Caenorhabditis elegans: one gene and its partners. The protein of the gene in region 2 interacts with the protein of the main gene of each other region in a pairwise test. Each region holds a gene or a part of one and is shown on either strand. Other genes may lie near its edges. The genes, in order: rpia-1, mcm-6 and fbl-1.

The links.
Region 1: the proteins of mcm-6 (region 2) and rpia-1 interact in a two-hybrid assay, tested with the Caenorhabditis elegans proteins (one large-scale study listed by BioGRID).
Region 3: the proteins of mcm-6 (region 2) and fbl-1 interact in a two-hybrid assay, tested with the Caenorhabditis elegans proteins (one large-scale study listed by BioGRID).

What each region holds. Positions count from the first base shown.
Region 1 is NC_003281.10:7,121,198-7,124,886, forward strand, and holds rpia-1 (Probable-ribose 5-phosphate isomerase), read left to right. Parts: upstream 1-1,930; 5' UTR 1,931-1,987; coding exon 1,988-2,047; intron 2,048-2,094; coding exon 2,095-2,247; intron 2,248-2,294; coding exon 2,295-2,537; intron 2,538-2,661; coding exon 2,662-2,961; 3' UTR 2,962-3,138; downstream 3,139-3,689. Other genes in the region: B0280.9 (U3 small nucleolar RNA-associated protein 18 homolog), read right to left, coding at 1-152, 391-523, 571-664, 722-822, 874-1,054, 1,103-1,311, 1,358-1,433, 1,539-1,694; B0280.2 (uncharacterized protein), read left to right, coding at 3,490-3,570, 3,657-3,689.
Region 2 is NC_003281.10:9,792,460-9,796,214, reverse strand, and holds the start of mcm-6 (DNA replication licensing factor mcm-6), read right to left. Parts: upstream 1,849-3,755; 5' UTR 1,848-1,848; coding exon 1,612-1,847; intron 1,563-1,611; coding exon 1,274-1,562; intron 1,227-1,273; coding exon 941-1,226; exon of another isoform or gene 920-940; coding exon of another isoform or gene 704-919; intron 662-703; coding exon of another isoform or gene 383-661; intron 326-382; coding exon of another isoform or gene 218-325; intron 173-217; coding exon of another isoform or gene 1-172. Other genes in the region: srxa-10 (Serpentine receptor class XA 10), read left to right, coding at 1-172, 218-325, 383-661, 704-919; R10E11.9 (uncharacterized protein), read left to right, coding at 2,657-2,714, 2,947-3,019, 3,071-3,160, 3,359-3,629.
Region 3 is NC_003282.8:9,538,893-9,542,647, forward strand, and holds the start of fbl-1 (Fibulin-1), read left to right. Parts: upstream 1-1,915; 5' UTR 1,916-1,959; coding exon 1,960-1,999; intron 2,000-2,152; coding exon 2,153-2,388; intron 2,389-2,435; coding exon 2,436-2,589; intron 2,590-2,708; coding exon 2,709-2,861; intron 2,862-3,142; coding exon 3,143-3,400; intron 3,401-3,755. UniProt on the Caenorhabditis elegans protein: Incorporated into fibronectin-containing matrix fibers. Plays a role in cell adhesion and migration along protein fibers within the extracellular matrix (ECM).

The DNA of each region.
Region 1 (3,689 bases), 2.7 Mb from region 2:
CATTTGAACAAATTGCCATCAATTGAGCATCAGAATTGAAAGCGATTGATGAGACCGCGGTGACGAGATTAGAAACATTGAAAAGTGGACGAGGATTTGTAGAATTGCGGCAATCATTTCCAGAATAGACATTCACGATTCCGGTATCACTTCTGGAAATTTCAAATTTTCATCATATAATCAGGATGTATGTAAAGACTAGGTCATTTATTTTCACCGGAATTCAACAAAAAAAGATTTTTTTTTTTAAATTTTTGTTGCTAAACTGAAAATATCAACAAAAAAAAAGATGTAGCAAACTGTACAATTATATTAATATATGAATTATATGAATGAATGACAGTATCGTGATTTTACGAATTATAAAAGTTTGATTTTAAAAAAGCTTACCCAGTCGCAAAGTAATCTCCATGTTGGCTGATGGCGAGTGTTGTTCCGTGCACAGCTCCATCGTCGGTGAATGTATGTTGCGATGATTTGGTTCCCGGCAATCCAATGTTTGCGATCACAATTTGGCCGGTCTCTAGAAATTTCGAATAATTTTTGAATTTTTGGCAATATAAAACCAACCGCAGATGATCCAAATTTCACGGCTGTGCGATGGGAAAAACTTGATTTCTGACGCATTTGCTGGGAGTGATATTGTTGTGATATGCTCCATCGACTGAAACATTTTACATTTAAACTTTTAATTTGCCAATAATTTAATTTTTTGACATACAGTAGCATGGAGAACATAGATGTGAGAATTGTGTCCTGCAATTGCCAAAAATTGAGAGTCATGCGAAATGGCAAAGAGCCGAATTCCTTGCTTTGGTACTGCTGTAAAATGTTCAAAGTTTTGCTTCAAATTTTATTAAATATTAAACGTACTGTTTGGAGGTTTCAACTGTGTCACTTCTCTTGTTTCCATATTGTACTGCATCAAATATTCCTTTCGGCTTGAAGAACAGATCACAGAGTGTCCTTTATCAGCAATTTCCAGACTATCAATCGGGAATTTTGAGAAATTCGCACTTTGAAGGAAACGATCCTTTTTAACCTCACGACTTACCTGAAATAAGTAAGGAATGGTTTAATTAAAACAGAAAACACAACTTACTTTAAAAAGTTGAACATTTCCACCTTGATCGGCAACAATGAGCACTGGTCGGGTTTTATGAAATTTAACAACAGTGATTCCACGAGTGTATCGGTGTCCGATGTTGAAATCTTTTATAAGAGTTGTATGAATAGTTGTTTTTGGTAAATTCACGTCTTTCGCCAAATATCCGGCAGCAGTTTTCAACAATGACCCTTCTTCTTCGTCTCCTAAAATTGTAAAATACGATTTTTGAACTATTGATTTTCCAAAAACCTGCAGCAGCCTTAGCCCATTTTGGTGTGCCTCCGTGGCGTTTTCTGAACGCCTCTTGCAATCTACCAACGTATTCCTAAAATATTAAAATTATTTTTCAGAAGTAATTTATCCTTCTGCCTATTTTCAATTATATAATCTTTATTACACGTTGAATAACGTATTTCTAAAAAAAATTTACCTTTGAATCCAATTCTCCATGTTCTTCGTCTGTGGTTCGCTTGAGTTCAACTCGCATTGTCATTTTCACTTTTTTTGGAACCGCCACAACCATATTATCGTCGTCCTCATCGTGCCACGCAGGCTTTTCAGACTCAATCACTGGCCGTTTGCTCATTTCTCTGAAAATTGTTCAAAATAACCTTAATGAAAGATTCAATAAGCTGAAAATTAAAGAAAATTCGGAAAAGAAAAAAGAAAAATGAGAAGCAATTGTCGTCAAATAGTGTGTGTTATCGTAGTTTTAGTGCAAACACCGTCACGTCTCAATGCAGAATTTCATTAATTTCAGTATTTCAGCTGAAAATTTCAGTCTTTCTTATCAATTTACTATTGTTTTCGTTTTCTTTTCAGCATTTTTGTATGTTTTCTACAAAATTTCCATTATCAGGAGTATTGCGAACCGCCAGAATGGTCACCTCCACCGGCCCTGAAGCAGAACTGGCTCCTATTGAGCAGGCGAAGAAACGAGTAAGTCAAAAATTAAGACCAATTCCAACCCTCATTAATCATTTCAGGCTGCGTTTGCCTGCGGTGAAAAATATGTGCAAAGTGGTTGCCGTCTTGGTGTTGGATCCGGAAGCACTGTCAAGTATTTGGTAGAATATCTTAAACAAGGATTTCAGAATGGAAGTCTCAAGGATATCATCTGTGTTCCAACCAGTTTTTTGGTAAACAGATTTTCAACAAACCCAATTGTTATAAATAAGTATTTCAGACAAAACAATGGCTGATTGAGTCTGGTCTCCCTGTCTCCGATTTGGATTCACATCCAGAACTGGATGTGTGTATTGATGGAGCTGATGAAGTTGACGGACAGTTCACGTGCATCAAAGGCGGAGGTGGATGTCTGGCTCAAGAAAAAATTGTTCAAACCGCTGCAAAAAACTTTTACGTGATCGCTGATTATTTAAAAGATTCCAAACACTTGGGTGATCGCTATCCGAATGTCCCAATTGAGGTAAATTATTTAACTTTTTATAATTATCAGTAAAGAAAGATGCACTAAAGAATAAACTTTAGAACAATAGTTTTTTCTAAATAGATGTAGTTATGTTGACTGTTTTTAATGAGATTTATTGCAGGTTCTACCTCTTGCTGCTCAACCACTTCTACGTTCGATTCCACGCGCTGAAGGTGGAAGCTGTCAACTTCGACAAGCTGTCAAAAAGTGCGGACCAATTGTGACAGACAATGGAAACTTCATTATTGATTGGCAGTTCGAGAAAAACGTATCCGGAAGAGATTGGTTCGCGATTCAGCAACGATTGGCCAATACACCAGGAATTGTTGAAACCGGATTATTCATCGGTTGCGTCGACGCAGTATTCTTCGCGTACTCTGACGGATCTGTCAAGGAAATTGTCAATTCCAAGAAGCACTGACTACTTGCATCGAATTTTGTTCATATTGAAAATTAGTTGTTTCTTATCACCACCACACTCTCCAAACTTCACTTTTCCTCTTCCCAGTTGTTGTGAAAATTGTACCCATTCATTCCCAATGTTCCTAGTATACGTGTAGTTCTTAGAATAGCCCCAATAAAAATTGTGTTGAAAAAACGTCTTTCTTAAAAAACTGAAAAAAAAATTAGAAAACTCTGAAAACGTTTTGAAATGTAAAGTGTCTGGATGTAAAGTGTCTGAAACTGTTTAATTTCAAATTACAGTAGTCTTGAAGTGTATGAATGGCGAGGATAGCTTAAAGATTGAAAGAAATGAGAATTTGCTTCCTAAATGACTCATTGGAGGCGGTAAAATTAAGAGCGAGCAATAATTTCAAAAATACTGATAAAGTTGGGAAATAAGTAAATATTTCAAAATTTTTAACAATTGCTGTATTAAAAAGCACTTTCGTCAAATCGTATCATTCGTATTCTATTCATTCCAGATTGTTCAAATTTTAATTTCCAAATGATTACATCTGAATTGAGTGATTTCCTCGAGATCAACGAAAAAAATAGTGTTCTAAGAGGAATATCGGCAAGCGATAAGGTATGATTTTGTGCACTAAGAGATAGGCACGGTCTCTGCTTAAAGACAAATGTAGTTTCAATTCAACTAGCTTGTGCTCATTTCAGATACTTTCATCAGGTATTTGTCAACTTCTTTTT
Region 2 (3,755 bases):
ATATCGGGATTCAATAGGAGCTATGATTTCGGTGGGTGTAACGTTCAATTATCTTCATCCAATGCTCACACTTATTCTGATGACTATTAATCGAATAGCAGTAGTTGTGAGTATGCAGGCATCTCAGCTTTTCACTTCTAGCAAAATATGGCTCTATACTTCATTTCATATGGTATCTTGAAATGCTAAGATTTCAAATGATACATTTATTCTTCAGACTGCCAATTTCGCATGTCTTATTATTCCCTATCTGAGTGAGTGTCGGATAAATTATGATATACGAAAAGTTGGATTCATATCTGAATGTGCACCAGACAGGCATCAGGTAAAGTAGATCTACGGATGATATCTGTGTTACAAAAATTAATAATTTAATTTGTAGATCACAACGTTCTCCAATTATTACTCTGTATTCTTTCCGTTCGTAGCATTCTTTTTCAATGTGCTAGTTATTATAAACTTCAAACTTCAAAGATCACCAACATATACAAAGATCAAAAATATGTTCCGACGTGGGAATGGAGATCAGTTTACATCAATGCCTTCGGATGTTTTAAAAGCGAAAAAGAAGACTGAACGAATGCTTATGATTCAAGCTTTTATCACTGCTTTCTATCTTTCTGTATATGAGCTAACAAGTCTTGTTCTACGAGTTGTTCCGGTATAAATTCAACGAAATAGCGTTTACTATGCAAGTTTTCAGGAACTCTTTGGAAATCTTTCGCTTGACGGAAAGCTCGCATTCACTTATTTTCGACTAGCTCAGGTGCCATGCCATGTATTTCTAGTATACTTCATTTTTACCCCTGTTACCAGAAAAATCTATATGGATTTTGTTCGAGAAAGAGTTTTCTGTATGAAACCAGCGAAAAAGAAGACAATCAAGGTATCTGCGACAACTACTTCCACTAAGAAATGAGTTTCGAATAAAATTGTTTACCTCTGTTCTGATTTGAAGTCTCAGCACGAAGTCCAGGAGTGCTCAATTGAGCAATATCTGGAATGACGATAAGAGTTCCAACAATGTCACATTTATCTCCTGGTTGGACAGTTTCAACCATTTCTCCTCGAACAATCACATCGACAGTACGTGGAATTGATCCACGAGGCAACTCTGCTTGAGTCTCCTGAATTCTAATCTTCTGGAAGTCGACGAAAGTAGATGAGTTGACATCGAGACTGAATCTGGTACGATTCATGCATTGAGGATTAGCACATTTAGTTGGCTGAAAACATTTGAATTCGTTATAAGCTAATTATTATCTCCGCATACCTGAGTGTATCTGAACTGCTGTTGAACATCACGTGTGGTAACACCGCAATCCTCACACACGAAACAAGCCCGTGAAAGTTCTGGATGCACTGGGTGAGTTCGGACAATCTGACCGGCAATGCGCACGAGGCCTCCGACTTTGTCCGCAGAAAGCTCACGAACTTTCGTTTTCGCATCGAGATTGAACAGCGAAACGTACAATTGCTTCTTGAACATTTGCTGTCTCTCACTTTCATCACAAGCATCTAAAGTGGCCAAGTGTAGAGCTTCGCACATGAATGGATAGACCCTGAAGTATATTTATAAGTATTCGAAAATACTAATCGAATTTAATTTACCTGTAGTATTGCAGCTCGATAGTTGTTGCGAGATTGTTACTGAACTTGTAGAGATGTTGCATGTTAATGAAAATGGTATTCTTTTCTGGTTGCACGAGCTCCTTCATCGCAGATTTGTAGATAAACTCATTTTTCTGGTCTTTGAAGCTCTTCAAAAACTTGGAAAACTCGTTCTGCACACGAGTTCCGTCGGTGTCCTCCACTTGCTGGGCTTGACCGCCGATAATGTTGTCCATGCTGAAAGAATTGATTTAAAAAGAATTAAGGCAACTTTCTTAATCGAAAAAGTAAGAAAGAGAACTAGAAATTCAGGAAGTCGGTGCAATCTGAAGAGGAAAACAATGAGAATGCGGGAAAACGACGAGAAATAAGACACCTAAAATTCAAAACTCAATTTTGGCGGCAACCTGCGTACCGAAACACTGGAGTGTTGTAGACGAAACAGTGTGCGCGGTAAAGAGACGCAGACAAATTAGGCGCGAAAACTGTGCGGCTGTGAATTTGAATTTCGACAGAAATTCATTGTCATTCAGAAACTTGCTTTTTCAGATGTAAAAGATATATTTTATGAATAAAATAAAAAACTTATTGGGAAAAATCAAAAACAGAAAAAGGCGCTTTAAAAAATAACAATTCTTGCCATGTCGTCGCAAGACCATTTCCCAAAAACGTGCCTCCCTTGAAACTCACACGGTACGGTACTTTGATAAAAATCGGGCCTACGATTTCTAATTTAATAGCCTGTAATGTAGACTTCAAGAATCAGTAGTTATTGAGAGTCACGAAAAATTTGAAACATGCAAAATTCTCATTCAAACTTGAATTAATTTCAAGGGGAGATAGGTTACCTTGAGACCATTCGGGTTACTGTACTTCTTAGAATTTCAGAAATTCGGGCGATGTTTAGAATGAATAAATATGAGTCAGACGTGCGCAACAGGCCGAGGAAACTTATGCGAGAATATGTGTATGTTTGCTTTCTGGACACTACAACTTCCAAGCTTTGTCGACAGAAAAGTTGTGTTATACTGCTTTATCGATAAGTATGCACTTTCTCTTTAAATTATTCGTTTTGATTTTAAATCTAACTCTGATCTCAAATGGTGAGTTTCGACAATTTTAAAAGTTCAAAGTTCAAAAGGCGCTATAGTATGATGAAATTCACCTATAAACATTTTTTAGAGATTTCCATTTAATTTTGAAAGGCGCACGCTGGATTTCTGAGTGGGTCTCGACACGATCTCGGTGCTACAAGCCATATTTCTCACCTAGCTTCAAGTTTATTGGAAAATATGATGAATTTTATTAAAATACCTTGTCAAAGAATTGTTTCAGTTAAATCTCAATCATACAATGACGTCATTTGCCGCCGACCGTGGTATTTTAACTCACCACGACCTGCTCCAATGTAAGTTGGAGAATATTATAATTGGCAAATAATTCCGTTTTTCTCGTTTAGGAGGTGTCCAACTGCTTCTTTCTTCACATATTATGAATGTTGTGGAGAGTTCTTGGAAAACTGTTGTTGGAGATTTAGACAAGAACCCATGTAAGCTTTTTGTAAAGTAGCTCTAACTAGATCCACATCTAAGTCATATAAATCCACAGAAGAAATTTAAGTTTTCATTTGAGCATCTGTAGTAGAATGAGACATCTCTCAGAACATCCCTATAAGGGGATGAAATTTTGGATTTCTTAATTTGGAACATCTTAAACAGGAACATCTTGAAAACTAAACTTTTTTCAGAATAATCGGAGTAATTCTTCTTGTTCTTCTCTTACTTGTATGTTGCTGTTGTTGTGTTTCTTGGATATTCGTTGGAAGAAAAAAGAAATCTTCAAATATTGAACCAGAAAAGAAGCCAACAAAGAAAGACTCACAAATTCAAACAATTAGCAGTTCAACAATAGATTCTGGAACTCAATGGGAACTCCGAAGAAGCTACGAGGAAACTGATAAAAGAAGGTCTTATGCAGCTGCTAGAGATCAAGAACTGGATTATCAATATTTTCAATAATTATATATTCTGCTCAATTGGATTTTTTTTTGAAAAATTAAAACGTTCCGATTTTCATTTTCCTTGAAAGTGCCATATTTCCTCAAGGATTTTACAAATTTCAAATTCCATTTGTAGACTTAAACG
Region 3 (3,755 bases), on a different chromosome or scaffold from region 2:
GGTGTTTCTTTAGGGGTGGCAATAGGTTGCAACAGGTCGACCTATCGCCACCCCTAGTTTATTCCAAACCAAAATGAGGCTCCGAATTAACGAGTATCAGAGGTATAAGGCGCATACAAAATTTGTGGTGTCAAATATTTGGCAGTCATTTTTTTTTGAAACAAAGAACATATTTATTTTCAGTTATTTCCTACAAAACTTTAAAAACTGCAATCTATCTAATCTTTAAAAATTTCAATTATGTTCAAAAAGATCTGAAATTTAAACGGTTAAAATATAGATATTCATACAAACGAGAAAAGAAATATATTCATACAAACGAGAAAAGAAATTGCCGGATTTTTAACCAAAAATAATCAAATCCTGAAACTTCCCACCATTTTCCCCACTTCCCAATGTTTTTCCAACATTCATGCCTTTGAGTTCAAAAAAGATTTTCATTTTATTTTCTGAATGTGTACCATCACATGTGAACTCATTCCTCCTCCATCGTTTACGATCTCTTTTTACGAGCTCCGCCCTCGAAAATGCTTCTGATCATGTAAACGAAAAGAAAAAAGATGAAGAAGACTGCTGACTGACTGACGATGTATCATTTTCTCACATTGTGTTATGTTGCGATTGAGTGTTAAACTTTTTATTTAGAGGTTTCAAACAGATGAGTCACTTGCCGATTATGAAAATACTGTTTTCGAGTTTGAAAATGTATATAACTTGTAAATATGCAAACTTGTAAAAACTTGTAAAACACTTGGCGTTTATTTTTTATCCATTTTCGTTTCCAACTCTAGAACAAGAGAGAATTTTGGGAAACTCTTGCCAGTATCTTACAAAAACTTTTTTGTGTCGTTGTAACATTGGATAAGACATTGGAAATAGTTGTTCAAACTTGTAGATACTTTGGTAATAGCTTCATAATGGTTTCACAAGTCTAACTCAAACTGTGCAAAAGCTTCACAACTTCTCAACCAAGTCTATTTTTTGGGAAAAAACTGCTCAAGAAGTCAGCTCCAAATTCTGAGTAAGTATGATTGTTGCCCTGAAACGTAAAACAAAAATCGGATAGGTATTTTCCGATTTTAACTATAAATCCACCATAAACCCCGTCGATCAATTTTGCGCTATTCCAATGAAAGACCGTTTTTTTTCAATTTAATATTTTCAAAAACTAAAATAATTCAAATAAATTTTTTGTTTTGGTTTCAACAGTGTCGTTTGCCATTTTTCTGTTCTAAAAATATACCCAAAATCTCACATTTCCTCGAAACATTCCATGTAAACATCTGTTCCAATGCTCCTCCCTCTTCCTTTCAATGCTCATTTGAAATTGTTTCACTTAATTAACCAGACTATTATCCGTGTCATTTACGGGCACATATACATCTACATACATCTCAATAATATTAATAACAATAAGCTTAGATTAGAAAGGAAAATGCGGGAACATGAGACGCAGGCAGAAGCAGATAGATGGGCGGTTCCAAATCGGGAATGTTGGAAAGCTTTTCGATTTAGACACAACGAATTTTTGAGCAAAATGTGATAAGAATAGTAATATGTTGTGCTATTTTTATTGTTATTATTTTCTGTTTTATCATTCTTTTTGCGTCTTGCGTAACACTTATCACTAAACGGCTTTTGTGAGGTTTTCACACGTTTTCATAAATTCTTATCAGTTTCATTGTTTTTATGGGAGTTTTTTCTTTTATTCTTCTTTTTTTAAAAATCTGAAAGTTTTCAGTACAAACTTTTTTTACTTGCCCTGTGTACGAAATATGATCTAAATGAGCACATGATGATGTGATATTATTTGATCTTTCCTCGAAATCCTACTCATTTTCTTTGTGTCGTGCCACTTCCGTTCCAATTCACAACTTTTTGTGTTTCCGTTACAACATTATCTGCTTTCTTACAGAATTACGGAAACCCCGTGGAAATTTTAGTAGATTGGATAGAAATATGCGAATTTGTTTCTTATTATTGGCATTTTTGGTGGCAGGTAAGCTTTTTAAATTTTTTCAAATATTTATTTAAATTTTATGAATAATTAATAAAGAGGGCCCTCAAAAACACTTTGAAAATAGGCCATTTTCTAACATTATCCATAAAAAGAAAACTATCACAAACAACGGGAAACTTTCAAAATTTTCAGAGACCTTTGCCAACGAACTTACAAGATGTTGTGCTGGAGGAACTCGTCATTTCAAGAATTCAAATACTTGTTCAAGTATCAAAAGCGAAGGAACAAGTATGACGTGCCAAAGAGCTGCATCCATATGTTGTCTCAGAAGTTTATTGGATAATGCATGTGACTCTGGTACAGATATTGCAAAAGAAGAGGAGAGCTGCCCAAGTAATATAAATATTTTGGGAGGTGGATTGAAAAAAGTAATTTTAAAAAATCGAATAAAAATATAAATTGAGATGGATTTCAGGAGTGTTGTGATTGCTGTCTTCTAGCCAAAGATTTGCTCAATCGAAATGAACCGTGTGTTGCTCCAGTTGGATTTTCAGCTGGATGTTTGAGAAGTTTCAATAAATGTTGTAATGGTGACATTGAAATCACACATGCTTCCGAGATCATAACTGGTAGGAAAACAGAACATTTTCAATATTATTTCTTTTTAAAAAATTGAAATAATTTAATTCGGAACTTTTCATAAAAAATACCCGATTTAATGTTAAAATTGTTTTTTCATGTTTTACAGGACGTCCACTCAATGATCCACATGTACTTCATCTCGGCGACCGATGTGCGTCATCTCACTGTGAGCACCTCTGTCATGATCGTGGAGGCGAAAAGGTTGAATGCAGTTGCAGATCTGGATTCGACTTGGCACCAGATGGAATGGCTTGTGTAGGTATGAATATGTTTTACGCTTTTTTTTGTGCAGGTCAAAACCAAGTTAGAACTTTTCGAAAATTTAATTTTGAATGGAAAATAATAAAATTAATAGTAAAATACATAGTAAAATTAACATCACACTGTTTATCTGAAAATTGGTATGTATTTTATGCAAATTGGCAGCTTTGATAATTTTCTTTTGTTATTTCACGATTTCAGAAAAAAGTTTTCCCACTTTCACTACATCCATTCCCGGTCCTCTAGCTTACCCACATACCTTTTGTGCTTCTCTTTCAGATCGTAACGAATGTTTAACCCGCCAATCCCCATGTACCCAGTCTGAAGATTGTGTTAACACAATTGGTGGATATATCTGTCAGAGAAGAATTTCTCGTCTTGTTCCCCATCGTCATCGTGCCAATCGAATTGGCAATGCGCCAAGAAGAATGAGAGACGATCCATATTCTCGTGCTGGAGAATATAGAGAAGCATCACAAGCAAATACAGAGTTTGGATGCCCAATGGGATGGCTTTTTCAACATGGACATTGCGTTGGTAAGATAATTTAACAAGAAAATTAAAAAAAAAACAAAATTTAAAAAGTTGTGTGCTTATTGTTTTTTGCGCACTTTAAATTCAAAAAATTAAAGTTTAATCTAATTCTAAATTAACTGTTTCTTGAAATAATATTTGTCGTGTGCTGTCTGTCTAACCCTCAATCCCTAGAATGTTCTCTCCATCATCCATGTTCACATTCTAATCAACATTGTCTACCCTCTCCTGGGAATAATCGTGGCGATGGTTCCTGTGTCTGCAATCGAGGATATTATTGGAGTGATACTAACTCGCAGTGTGAAGGTTCTTGCTTTTTAAATGACTAACTGAATGAGAAATTGGAAGCTATGTTAAT